Drosophila melanogaster: one gene and its partner. The protein of the gene in region 2 interacts with the protein of the main gene of each other region in a pairwise test. Each region holds a gene or a part of one and is shown on either strand. Other genes may lie near its edges.

The links.
Region 1: the proteins of Taf12L (region 2) and CG2209 interact in a two-hybrid assay, tested with the Drosophila melanogaster proteins (one large-scale study listed by BioGRID).

Annotation. Positions count from the first base shown.
Region 1 is NC_004354.4:13,018,366-13,025,501, reverse strand, and holds CG2209 (uncharacterized protein), read right to left. Parts: upstream 3,305-7,136; 5' UTR 3,245-3,304; coding exon 2,783-3,244; 3' UTR 2,553-2,782; downstream 1-2,552.
Region 2 is NT_033779.5:4,698,723-4,705,882, forward strand, and holds Taf12L (TBP-associated factor 30kD subunit alpha-2), read right to left. Parts: upstream 2,764-7,160; 5' UTR 2,747-2,763; coding exon 2,555-2,746; intron 2,495-2,554; coding exon 2,270-2,494; 3' UTR 2,113-2,269; downstream 1-2,112. Other genes in the region: dcma (decima), read left to right, coding at 7,015-7,101.

The sequences.
Region 1 (7,136 bases), on a different chromosome or scaffold from region 2:
ATTTCGGGGTTATGAAATCATGCCGTTGAATTTTTGATAAGGGTTGAGCTTTTTAGGTCCTTCAAAGGACTTCAACGCTCAACAGCCGACTCGAAATGAAATCCTGCAACATAAGCAACAGTTATACTATAAGTGGGTGGTTCTTTTGGGTGGCTTGGGCGTTGTGTTTTGTTTTTGTTTTTTTTTTGTCTGTGTTTTGGGTGGCTTTCTGGGTGGCTTTCCAGGTGGTCCACGAACCAAAAGTTGGGCAGTCAAGTGCTGGCAAAGTGCAAAGCCAACAACATGGCAACAAGGACGATGCCAAAAATAGTGTCTCAACCGGCCAAAAACGAGCCGATGGTGGTTGGAGTGTAAGTGATTTTTTTGGGTGGTTAAATGGGTGGTTTTGGGTGGTCTGGTTTGGTGGATGATTGTACATTCCATCGAGAGTGAGAAGGTAAGAGGAGCTAAACAAGCAGCCAGCGAACGAACGAACGAACCGCATCGTTTGCTCGTTTATTTGCTAACCAGTCTAAAATGAAATTAATTATAGTTACGCACAGCTTCCGTGACCCACAAGGACCTCTACCTCCCTCCTCCCATTTCCAACCGACTGTCCCTTGTGTGTGTGTGTGTGTGTGTCGCCAGCTTTTGTTTTCAACTTTCGTTGGTTGTTTGGTACGTTTTGGGGAAAGTCCTGCAGGGGCATGTTCCTGAAAAATGGCAAGTCAACTAGTGCAACTAGGCCATTTTGAAAGTTACTTGCTTGTTGCGACAGTTATGTTGCCTTTTAAACAGGAATTATTATGAACAATTTTATGTCAACTTCTATGCACAAAAGGTAACTATTTATTAAGATATCTTAAAAAGTTAGTGGATAAAGTTTTTCATGAGATGAAAAGCGACATTCATACCCTTCAAAATATAGCAACAAGATCAACTCATTGCGGCTGAAAATTACAGGGTATCAAAATGTGGTGGCCAAGAACCAAAACAGCAGTGTAAACAAATTATGCTGAAGCAACACAGAAATTTTCGACCAACATTGCCGGGACTGACTAAAAATAACCAAGTCAGGGGTTACGCCCCCCTCTTGTGCCCCTGCCATTTTGACCCAAGCCTTCACTCCCCTTTTGACCAGCTCTTTTCTTCTTTCTTGTTGCTTTTTAGCCCTTGTTCGGCCAGCTGATGTCTGTCTCTTGGCCTGACCCTGAACTTTTTAATTAATATGTGCAAGTGCGTGAGCATCGAGCATTGAAAGGGCTCGTTGGGCACACTCTCTCACATACACACACATACACAGTTCACACTCACACTCGCACACTCAGATACCCATCCACAAGGGCCGTTCAAAATGGCGAAAAAGGGGAACGGAAAAGGGGGCGGCGAAAAAGCAAAAGCCGCAACAAAAACAAGCAGGCGAAAGATGAAACTCGTTTTGGCCTTTTTCTGGTTACAAAACGCGCCATAATTTTGAGTTGCACACACTGAGCGAAACGGGCCAAATTAAATTTAAAACCGAATTAAACGTTGATATTCATGTTGGTATAGCTAATTATATTCAATTAGAATTTAGCAATGCAATTTAGCAATAATTATTTTCATAATTAGCTATCTCCGAATATATACTACATTTTTGCCCCAGTGTTTGGAGGCTGTGTGTTTTCCGTGTCCCATTTCGCTTTTGTTTACATTTTATATCAAAAACTTTTACGAGCTACAAAATATGCTCAGCCTGAGCCAAGAGCAAACAAATGCGAGGGAAAATGGGCGCTTTGGAGGGCGGTAAAATAAATAAAAATAAAATTGATAGCATGTTCTTTGGGGTCTTGTCGTCTTATACATGTATGTTAGGGTACACGCACATTTGCATATGTGTTTGTGTTTGATTGTGCGTGTGTGTGGGTGTGTCTGCGTGTGGCTGTGCGTGGTAAGTGGATATATGGTCGGAATTATTGGCATCCTACGGTGTACCTTTTTTATACCCAGCCCAGCAACCGCTGATCCCGTCCAATTGCAATTATCGCTTACGAGGGATTGTTAAAGTGGTTCATCTTATGACTTTACATTTTGAATTTGTTGATTTTCAACAGCTTCTTGTTTTATTCGGTGGGGGGTAAGCGAAAAAAAATGCGCCATTAATATTCTTAAAGAATGATGGTCATATTTAAATATTTCAACAATGCAGCGTGCTTTGGTATTCAGTTTAAAGCTCCATCTTTAAACTAAGTCTTCAATGCTTTTATGTTATGAGTACGATATAAGTACCAATTTAAAATATATATCTTAATTAAATTAAAAAACTTCCAATCAAGCAACTGTTAAAACAACATTGATTGAAGAAGGGAAAGTTTGAATTGCCCTGATTGCTAATTTATTGTCAATAAACTTGATTTTGTATTTTCTTTTCTTATTTTACTGAAGAGCTTAGCTCATTTATGTTGAAAATATATCTGAGAAGGATTCAATCAATAAATTGGCCAAACAACGAAAGGCAATGAAAGTAATTCATTCTCTTGATGAATACTTAAGATATTTATAAATATGATTACATTGTAGGACTTCATATTTTTCAGTAAGTTAACTGTAAATTTATTGAGGTCCAAATATAATTTTACAGCTTTTTACAGGCCATTCCCCACAAAGCGGATATGCAGATATGAAAATGGAGTCGTAACAGGTAATCGATAATCAAAGTCCGTTCAGCATAGTGGCCTATCGCAAATAAGGGCTGTCATGTCGTCGTTGCCAGAATAAAATATATTCCTCCTCTGCATGTCGAAAATTGAAAATTTGATAATGCCTAGAAGGCCAGGAAATCGATGGCCTCGCGAGCTGCACGCCGGTAGTCGCTCTCCAGGAAGGGAATCTTGCCCAGCAATTGACCCTGGCTACTGCATATGTACAGCTCGTACAGCTGCTCATCCTCCGGAGCGAGATCTGTGTCCGACGGAACTGTTGGGTTGGTTATTGTGGCTGTGATCTCGAGCCTTTTCTTAAACGAATTGCTATGGAATCTTAGTCGAAAGCTACCGATCACACGCTTTGAGAGCAGTTTCCTCTTAATCATAGTCTTCAAGGATTGGGGCATATTCGTGACTGTGGCATCGCATTCGAATTCTGGATCTTCATTGAACTTTATGTTGTAAGATCTTCGCACCTGCGCGACCTTCATCGAATACCTTCTTCGCACCAACTCCTTGGAACGCACCATCGAGGATGGGAAGAATTTGGTGAAATAAGCATTAAGTTTCAAAACTGGCATTTTTTTTGTTTTTTTAATCGAAATACAATGTCTGATTTGAATGCTGGGTATATAGATGATGAATATATCTATAGATATCCAGAGTTGGGCCGACAGTCGAAGGAAAACGGCTGGGGCAAAGCTTGCTTTTCATCGTAGGAAATCCGGAATACGGTTGAGTGGCGGTAGAAACTGTTGTTTACATTGCCCATACGACCGGTTGGCGTATGCCAAAAAGTAACCCACAGCAACATGGGGCTAAATCAAAATCAGAATCATCCATCGCCCGCAGCGGGCATCAAGGTCTTGAAAACTGTAGAAACCCAGGGAAAAACATGAAAACTTTACTCAGCCCCAGTGCAAAGTTTTTTTGGGACTGAGTCTCACACCCCTAGCAAAAACAACCCCTCAATCTGTCGGTGTTTGTTTTTTTTTTTCCTCCGTTTACCTTCTTCAAATGCAAAATCTAATAAAATTTTCACATTTTATTTTGCTGTTTTTGACTGCAAGTTTTCGGCGGTAAATTGGTGCATGGAAAGAAATTGCCATATAATTCGGATAAAATGTATAAAATTCAGAAAAAATATTACACAAAAAGACTAAATACCAAAATTGTACATATAATTAAGCCTAGATTAAAACATGCTTCTGCTCGGATTTGTTCCTATTTTTCTGACCTTCAAATATTCGCAGGTAAAAAACGACTGCAATGACATATGAGGACTATAAAAGTGAAAGTTGTTGAGCACACATACACACACAGAGAGGACTGTAAGTACTGGGGAAATCTGTGCAAATTGTGGGTGTACATGTGTGCAGCGAGCCATTTTATGTTAACAACTTTGTTGGCCCAAAGCGCTCCGTGTCGTCAATATGTTCATCATTAACAACTCGTCAGCAGAATGATGATGATGATGATGTTGATTATGCCGAAGTGAGTGCCATATGTTAGCCCCCGAAAAACTGAGCCACATTTTGGTGGCAACAAATGGCTGAAATCAACCAAAACAGCCGGCAACATCAAACGTTGAAGTAGGGGCGGCAAAACAAATCAGTTTTTTATTCAATGTGCCCCCATAAAAAAAAAGGGCAAAAAGCACTCACCGAAGAGCGAAAGTTTATGAACCATAAAACAGAATGGAACGATGCATAGGCATGCGATTTTTTTCCCTCTGTTTCCATCTTTTTTTTTTTACTTTCTTTCACCTGCTTGAGGTGCTCTTTTTCCACCCACCCACCCACACTCACAACCATTTGCATATTCGTTTGGGCTCTTTAAAACGCCGTTAGATGCCGAAATATTTCAAACATTTTTCAACTCAAGTTGAGTTGTTAACTCAACGGTGGGCCAAAGGTTTTCCAAATGGGAAATAAATTTCAGCGATGGGCGCGGATTGTGCTCCTTATTTATGGGCCGTGGCTCTTTAAGGACTGACTAGCGAATGTCTTGTAAAATTTATGGCCTGTAATTGGATGCTTTGGTGCCACATTGATTAAGGTTATAGCCCGCAGAACTCATAAATTAAACATTTTTAGAGGAAACCCCTTTAAACGAATAACTAGCCTTCTTATCGAAAATCATGCATTTGTTCAAACGAAATCTTTATTGCTTACATCTTATGCAATCCAATCGCCACAAATTAAACCGCTTGTGGAAATTCGAAGCGGAAATTTGTTGGGAAATTAAACTAATGCCATTTATGAATTATCAAATGTCAAGTGGGCAAGGCGGGTAAAGGAAATCAGGTAAAAGCCATTCTTAAAATGTAATGCAATTTGAGCAATGCGTTGCGAGAAATTGCCGCGGTTATCGGGGATAGCAGGATTCCAGGAATTTGGTCCCAGGACGACTGTGTCTACAGCTCCTGCAAAGGTCCTGACACCTGGCCCCCTCTCTGATTCACTCAAGTGCTCAGTGTCCAGAGTACTTAAAAGAATAGGTGAACTATTAGAGAAAGTACTCGTTACTCGTAGTAACTCGTTTTTTTTTTGTTTTACAAGAAAGGAACAAGAAATAAATGTTGGCAAAAATCTGATATTTTCAAAAGGGATTTTCTCCATAACTTGGCCAAAAAAGGTGTCACAGCTAAAATAAAGACTGTTTCGTGTTGCTAATAAACATACCTAACTATTCCTATCACTATTTATATGCTTTTCAAAAAATAATTTTTTAACAAATTTTCGCATTTTCGATAAGGGGTACCCCCATCAAAATTTGCGAAAAATTCCAATTTCCTAAAATTTTTAGGCTTGAACACACGTTGAAAGGAAATTTTCTTACGAATTCAACGAGGTATGACATTCCACGTTTGGACAATTATTTTTTTAGCTATTGCGAAAAAACGGATTATTTTTTCAAAAAAAATCAAAAATCAAAATGTTGCCAAAAATCTGATATTTTCAAAAGGGATTTTCTCCATAACTTGGCCAAAAAAGGTGTCACAGCTAAAATAAAGACTGTTTCGTGTTGCTAATAAACATACCTAACTATTCCTATCACTATTTATATGCTTTTCAAAAAATAATTTTTTAACAAATTTTCGCATTTTCGATAAGGGGTACCCCCATCAAAATTTGCGAAAAATTCCAATTTCCTAAAATTTTTAGGCTTGAACACACGTTGAAAGGAAATTTTCTTACGAATTCAACGAGGTATGATATTCCACGTTTGGACAATTATTTTTTTAGCTATTGCGAAAAAACGAATTATTTTTTCAACAAAAAAATCAAAATAAAAAATGTTTCCAAAAATCTGATATTTTCAAAAGGGATTTTCGCCATAACTTGGCCAAAAAAGGTGGCACAGGTAAAATAAAGACTGTTTTGTACTGCCAATAAACATACCTAACTATCCGTATCACTATTTATATGCTTTTCGAAAAATAATTTTTAACAAATTTTCGCATTTTCGATAAGGGGTACCCCCATCAAAATTTGCGAAAAATTCAAATTTCCTAAAATTTTTAGGCTTGAACACACGTTGAAAGGAAATTTTAATACGAATTCAACGAGGTATGACATTCTACGTTTGGACAATTATTTTTTTAGCTATTGCGAAAAAACGGATTATTTTTTCCAAAAAAAAAATCAAAAATCAAAATATTGCCAAAAAAATGATATTTTCAAAAGAGTTTTACCCATAACTTCGCCAAAAAAAGGTGGCACAGCTAAAATAAAGATTGTTCTGTACTGCTAATTAACATAGCCAACTATCCCCAATTCTATTTTTATGATTTTCAACGGTGGTGTCAGGTTGGGAAACCGGAAGCGACAAGCAAGGCCAAGGAAGTAACCTTGTCGAACCGGAAAAAAAGGTTAAACTTGTTGCGGCAACTTTTCCACAGCTTCGGATCCGAAATCCTTACACACACCCAACGAACACGATATGTTTTATAGAAGGCGATAAATGTTATTAACTTGACTGGCAAAACTTTCGTAATTGAACGGATGGGCGTCTCGAAATTAGCTGGCAACAAGTCCGCCGAGAATCGACCTTTAAGATTTATATATATTCCCCGATGTGTTACAATTGTGTCTAGAAAAACTTAACTTAGCCGAAAAGAAAAGAGATTTTGAATGAAATAAGAACATACCTAATTAGATTGGTTATATAATTAATAAAAATATATAATTACTTTCTAATTTTACTCTTGATTGAAAATGTTCGCATCATTAATCATTTTTGATTGACATTTAAGGCAGCACCAGTAAGTTGAGAAGATTGGATTTTTTCAATAGACCAAGTTTTTAACAATACAAAATTTAACCGTACAAGCACTTAAAAAATTGATAAGCTACATTCGGTGTTGCCAAAAATACAGATAAGATAAAGATTTACTGCAAGAAGAGTTCTTTTTTTTTTTTTTTGGTTAACAAAGCGAATTTCGTATCTATGAGAAGGAAGTCTCAACAG
Region 2 (7,160 bases):
GATCGCCCTCAAATGGAGTGGGCGTGGTACATTGTGTCTGCTTTTACTCATTTTATCCGTACGCGAGCGTCACGGATTGGGGAATACTCGTATGTACGAATAATATGCACGACAAATTCATTATAATATCGCCCAAACGAATTCGTCGACGGCTTGAATTTTCCTGCGTGCGTGCCAAGACATACGGCAAACGAATTTCGCCCAGAAGTGCGTTGGTATTGCTGGCCCACACACAGATTCTCACACACACACACAAACACTCGCTGAACCAATATCAAATCAGTTTAAATGCGCCCCAATGTGTCGTTCTTGGATTATGATTGCGAACGTTTGCGGCTGCCCCGAGGGCGGTTACAAATGTAATGAAAAGTAATTTCTATTTCTGGCCACAACCAAATGGGATTTTTACAAAAGCGGTGGTACTGCGGTCCTTAATTTACCATAAATAGATATATATATAAATTTTTATAAACTCTTCACTTAGCATTAAAATGATTTTAACCATAAATTATTTCAATTTTCGAATCACATTAGTTAAATATTGAAATATTGATAGCGGATTGATCATTTGTTTTAGGTCAGCTGTACTCAATTATATATTTAATCTTCATCCAATCCATTTGCAGCTGGTAATGATTTATTTAAGTTAATTTAAACAAACTGCATAAATTGCTCGTCCAGCAATGGGAAAAATAAAATAAAAACGCAACTGATTAAAGAGTTTTGGTGTTTTTTGGTCTTAAACAAATCAGATATTGATTAAATATTGGGAAACGCTACAATCTCTATTAAATTAGTGTAAAAAAAATATTACATCTCAGAATTCGCTTAAAAACAACGAAATGCAGCTACTGCAAATGCAAAACATTCAGCGACATAGAATGAAATCCTTTGGGTTTTCTTTAAATAAGTACAGATCATCTTCTGAATACAAAACCACAAGTTTGCTTAAGAGTCAGAGAGAGAAGCTCCAGAATTATGCCATTTTCCGCTATACCCATGGCCCGCGAAGAAGTATTCTTTATTCTTGAGGCAGCACCAAATAAAAAAAAAATATGAGAAAAAATCGCTCTGAAATTTCCGCCTCGGTCTTATCCTTTATTTTGAGCAAAGGACCTGAAAAGGAACCCAGTGCCCGTTCATGTGTGTAAATGGGAGCATGTGAGTGTTTTTCAGCCACTGTGTGAGTGTGTGGCATTATGCGCCCTGGCATTTTTATGGCACTTTAACTTTATGTTGAGTAATTCCCGGCTGAAGGGCGAGAGTCAAGTCCTCGGGAAAGTGTGGCCGAGACCATGATGACCGCTTTGCAGGGGCTATTGAATGTGAGTCCGGCTCTTGACAGCGGCCATTGAATTTATTAATTGCTTAATCATGATGATCCGGTTTGCAATTTATCACCAGGCGTGCACCTTTTCTCATTGATACCTCAATGGGTATTCACAATTATGTTCAATAAAATTCTTTCGTCAGCTAACAAATTTGTATTAAACACGAGTTTTGTGTATTCTTTAAATTCACGATGAAACCATATTTTGGCAAAACACGTTTTTCAGTCTAAAAGGAGGCCTTTTTTTTATCATAAAACTTAAAATAATTGTCCAAATATGGAATGCCATACCTCGTTGAGCTTGTATTTTATCCCCAAATCGATTGGCATTCAAACTTGGCAATTTTAATTTTTTGCCAATTTTTGCAAAATTTGATGATGGTATAAAAAATGCAAAAACTGACCCAAAAATAAAATTTTTTTTATTGACCAAAAAGTAATAGCAATTGTTGCTATTGGTAATTAGGTGCAGAAAACAGTTATTCCTGTACTTATCTGACTATTTTTAGGCGAGTTGTGAAGAAAATACCACTCTTAAATATTGCGTTTTTGCCAAAAGAGACCTTTTTGATTTTTCGCCCAAATATATTCAGTTTTTTCATCATAAATCTTAAAACAATTGTCCAAATATGGAATGCCATACCTCGTTTAGCTTGTATTTTATCCCCAAATCAATTGGCATTCCAATTTGGAAATTTTAATTTTTTGCCAATTTTTGCAAATTTTGATGATGGTACCCCTTATAAAAAATGCAAAACTGACCCAAAAATAAAATTTTTTTTATTGACCAAAAAGTAATTGCACTGGTTAACATTGGTAATTAGGTGCAGAAAACAATTATTCTTGTTGCCTTTCTGACAGTTTTAAACCAAGTTATTCATACATTTTATTCATTCCACAATTTTCAAATTCTACATTATTTTTCCCTTTATTGGACATTTATTCAATTGGGAACTCCATGTTGAACTCCCGCTTGAGGATGAACTTCAGGTCCAGCACGCTAACGTCGCTCTTTCGATACTTGGCCAACTTAACTATGCGCATGGATATGTCGTTAACAAAGGCATCGGCTATTCTGGCCATCATATCGCAACCTTGATCGTCCAGCGATGAATTTGCATCGATTTTCTGCACAAATTGCAGCATGTTGGTCTTGGAGATAATCTGATAGGGGGAAAAGTACGGATCGATTAATGCGTCCTAATTGGGGAAGTCGTTACGTACATCGTAGCTTCCGCCAGGGACAGACTGGCTCTCAATTACGCTAGCTGGCTCCTTCTCCACGGAGCTGGTGTCTATGCTGGTGTCACTGGAGCGGCTCGAGGATCTGGTCGAAGAGTGGCTCTCGTTATCCGACGATTTATCGCTGTCATCGAAATTGAGGGCAAAGGACCAAGGTTCCATGTTACTATCCATGATTCAATTAATTTAATGTCCTTTCCCGTTAATGCCACATGCACTAGGTAAGAAAGTGGCTTGAACTGGTTGGAAATTATAGGAACATAAGGTGTGAGCTAATGCATACTTTTCGGGTCCTGTGTCTTTCTTCAAAAAGCAAAAAGTTTTTTCTTGGTGTCGTGGGACATTACACTTTCTCTCAATTTTTTACCCGGCAATAGTTTGGATCGGGAAAACCCAGCTGGGCTTTGCAGCCTCAACTCTTCGCCCTTGGCCTGCCATAAATAACCAGTTTAAGTCGCAAGCTCTGCAGCTGAAAACGATTTCCATTGTTGCCGCAGCGTTTACCCTTTCCGCTGCGGCTTTTCCTTCACGGTTTTTCCGCCGTCTTCTGCTTTTGATTTATGTTCCGACTGGGCTGTGCGCTTTTCACTTCTCATGCGCCAGCGCCGTCTAAATAAATATCAAAAAGCAACAAATTGTGGCCGTGCCGTAAACGACCTTTGCCCCGGAATAAGAAGCCAGGCCAGGCGACAAGCGCGTCGTCATGGCTTAATTTTATGCCAGGTGAGTACTGGCAAGGCCAGTCAAAACAACAGCACACACGTGCCCAGGTGTCCTGCCAGCCTATTATGCCGTTTGTTCTTTTTGCAAACCCTTAATGCACAGTGGGAATTTCGCTTCAGCGAAGCACCGCGCAAATTTAAGGCCACCTTGGGAGCTTCGGGTTTCAGAATTCAGGCTGCAACTTAAGCCAACTCGGAAAACTGATTTAAACGTGCGGCTATAATTTATATGCCTAGTGAGGGGCTTAAACGTAAATAATCTTAATTTAAACACCATTGAAAAAGGAAGCTCTTCTTAATATTCACATCTACTTCTAATGGAAAAAACATGATCTTGTATATTGTAATTAATAATAACTAATATTCAAATTTAAGATGCTTAAACCGGTGCCACAGTGCCCGTTTTTGTCATTCTAAAATGGTGTGCCATGTGCCTTTGCTGCGCTCCTGCCACTTTGGAGGTGCTCCTCAGTGTCCTCGGCTTAATAAAGTCGCCTACTTAAAGCGAGCGACAATGACATTGTGCGTATGTTGCCAGTCGTCGTCGGTGGAAAGGGATTGGTATGATGGGGTGGCCAGGTCGCCCCTTCGGCCATGTGTCACACATCCGCATCCGGTGTTTGGCATTGGCATTAGGCTTCCTCTTTCTACCTCCCACCGCCGACTGTCGTTTGTCGTTTCCGGCATGCGACTCTTTTATATTGCCGCTTCTATTTGCTGTGTGCACTTTTCTGCCCCTGTCCGCTCATTTCTGCCTTCTCTGGCTGATTTCTGTTTCATATTTTGCTCGCTGGCCTTATGCATAGTGTAAGGCAGCAAAAAACGGCCGACGTTTAGCTTTAAGTGTGCTGAGTGCCATAAATTTCACTTTGTCAGGGTCTTTAATCGCCCAAGCCCCAATCAGGCAGTCATTGTGGGGACTTGAAGAGGACTTGGCTGGTTCGGAAAGGTTAATTGTCATCTAAGTCTTATGGCGAATATATATATTTTACACATTTTCTTTATTCTAAATTTAATCAACATGCTTGTTCCCTTCCTTTAATAAAACCACGACTCAAAAAGAAGTTGTTTCAGCCTTCATGTTGCGTTCTAATGGCACATATCATATCCGTAACGAGAATGCCAGTCAGTGCCTGTATATGAAGTGCTAATTTGCTGTCGTGCTCACATAAAAAATGACAGCCTTAGTTGCCAAAATGTTTGAATTAATCACACATTTGTCAAAATTATTCAAATGTCTTTGCGGCGCGAGAGAAAGTGAATGAGTGTGTGTGTGGGCATGAATAGTTAATACGCATGTGGGGGCTACGCCCGGTTCCGCCCCCTCAGTTTTAGCCGCAGAATGGTGTCTGTGTAATAAGGCTAATGAGTTTCTGCCATGTCTGGCAGAGTGTCGAGACTGAGGGGCTAATTCTCAGCCAGTCAGCATGTTCTATGCACTCGCAGTTACTGGCTGGCTGCCATTTGGAATGGTTTTATTTCACATGATTATGACATTCTGTTGTTCAGGATTTCCCACACACAAATGAAACAGCCACGCATTCTTAGGCCCCGTTTTATTAACGGAGGATGTACTTTTTCGCCTCCGCAGTGGCTGTGCCAGATATTGCGTATACGCCACAGTGGCAGATGCGAAATTAATTTAAATCGGGCCCTCAGCGCACAGACTATTAAACAGAACTCGATCTGCAACAGATTTGCGTTAATGTTTCATAAATGCAAAAAGCAACACATTTAAATTCCTTCTCCATTTAAGTTTTTAATTACACTTAGCCGGCGAAGCGCACGGCAGCAACAGGAATGAAAATGGAAATGAAAACGAAAATGGGCAACAGACGACGGGACGACGGTGTTGACGGGCATGAGATGAAATCCTTTAATAGGCGTCGCGCCATTTTGTCGCCGGCATCGCTGCTTAATCCTTTCGCGGCATATTTTCCAGCGCGCCGTGACTTAATGAGGCGCTTTTCCATGCCGAGCACGCGGCTCATCCTTCCCCCTCCACGCCCGATGCCAAACAATGCGGATCCTTCCGGGAGAAGTGCGATTCTAAGCCAACCAACATACACCTCTTATCAGTTGCATTTACGGTGGAGCAGGCGTTAATGTGGCATCGCATTTAGTTGGTCACGCCGGATGCCTAAGCCACGCTTGTGTGCCTAAAAATTGTGTGCGAATTTCATTTTCCAACAGGAAATTAATTTCGCTTCCTCTCCGAAATTATCCTGGCAGACCAAGTTAAAATGATCAAAAATTATTTCGTAAATGAGACTGACATCTTTGCATTAGCTGATTGCCTCACAAATATAGATACCCCCGGGGACATCGTTCTTATTTATCATATTACTTCATTCGAGTTAGGGAATATTAACCTACCCATGACATTTATTTACACATTTCAAGCTTTTTCCATTGATATTCTGCGAAATTTATTCAGATTCCTAGCTCAAGGCGCATTCATAACTGTTTGTGTTGGTAAATCGAGCGACTCGACTGGCACAAATCAAACACGAAGTGCAGGCAGATATCTTCGCTTCATCTCATACTGCCATTGCAGCGCATCGCCATTGCAAACAATTTACCTCGGGTCTTAGCCGACATCATTTGTTTGCCTTGCTTTCCTGCGCTGGCTTTCAGACTTTTCAGCTGATGCAGCTGCAGCTTAGTAATTCTCAGTTGTTTTCCTTTTAATGTAATTTCATCGTTTTATGGAGAAGATGTGCTGGCAAAGGTCAGTCGCGGTGTGGAAGGTCGCTTGAGAACTATTTAATTAATTAACAAGTTTTCTAGAAAAGTTTAACGTATATGTGCCAAAGCAAATAATATTTCATAAGTATAACCTGGATTGATACTGTCTTTTTGATAGTTAAAGGATCCCGTACTTTTTAGTCAACCCACTTTGTTGATCTACCGTCTGTTGTCTTGCACATTGCCGCAGCGCCAAGAGTTGAATTTAATTTAATTTCCCTACTCAAGCTCGACCTTTTGTTGCCTGCTTGTTTATTTGAGCGAGTCGAAGGGTGCGGAGGTCAGAGGCCAAGTGGATGCAAGCTTGTGGCCACGTAGTAGCCAATTCAGCCACTGAAAGCCAAATGATGTGTTAACGCCGAAAGTGCCAGGAGCAGTTGGTTGCCAACTGTCGCATCCGGTGCGTTTGTTGTTTTTGCTGCGAGCAAAAATGCGGTGCCACAAATGAAAATCGATGGCGTGGCACCAAAAAAAAAGGGGGGGGGGGTGAGAGGGAGAAAATAAAACCGAATGCAAACTAAAATCCTCGATTGAGTCGATTGTGGCGACGATGGTGAAGTGGCGTGCCGGAAATCGGCGATGCCACATCCGATTTTCCCGCCTTCCATTTTTCCGGCAATGCCGGAAAGGCGTGCCAACGCCGCATTTCGCATATATGCAATTCAATCTGAATCCCACTCAATAGCTCCATGTTATTTGTGCCGCATTCGCAGATGGTCAGCGCACCAGGTGATGTGATTGGAAACAAGCGAAGCTAAGTGCCATATTCCCATAGCCATTGCCAATTTGCGAGCTGAGCGGCTGTTTCGATGGCTTGCCGCAGCTTCAAGAACAAAAAATAGCGGATATCTGTGACCCGAGAGCCAGTTTCGATTGAATGCGTCAGCAGCATCAGCAACAAACTGCAACACTGCAGCAGCAACAGCGGCATCAGCAGCGACAACAGCAAGAAGCGCAACAGCAACTAGCAACATGTTGACCACTCACCATCTGCACCACCTGCACCACCATCGCGGCAGTACGGCCGTGGAGCTGGACAAGATCACCAACCTGAATACGGTAAGTCAAGGGGATCCTTAAAGTTAAACACAAATGTGTATTGGATTTTCAATTCCATT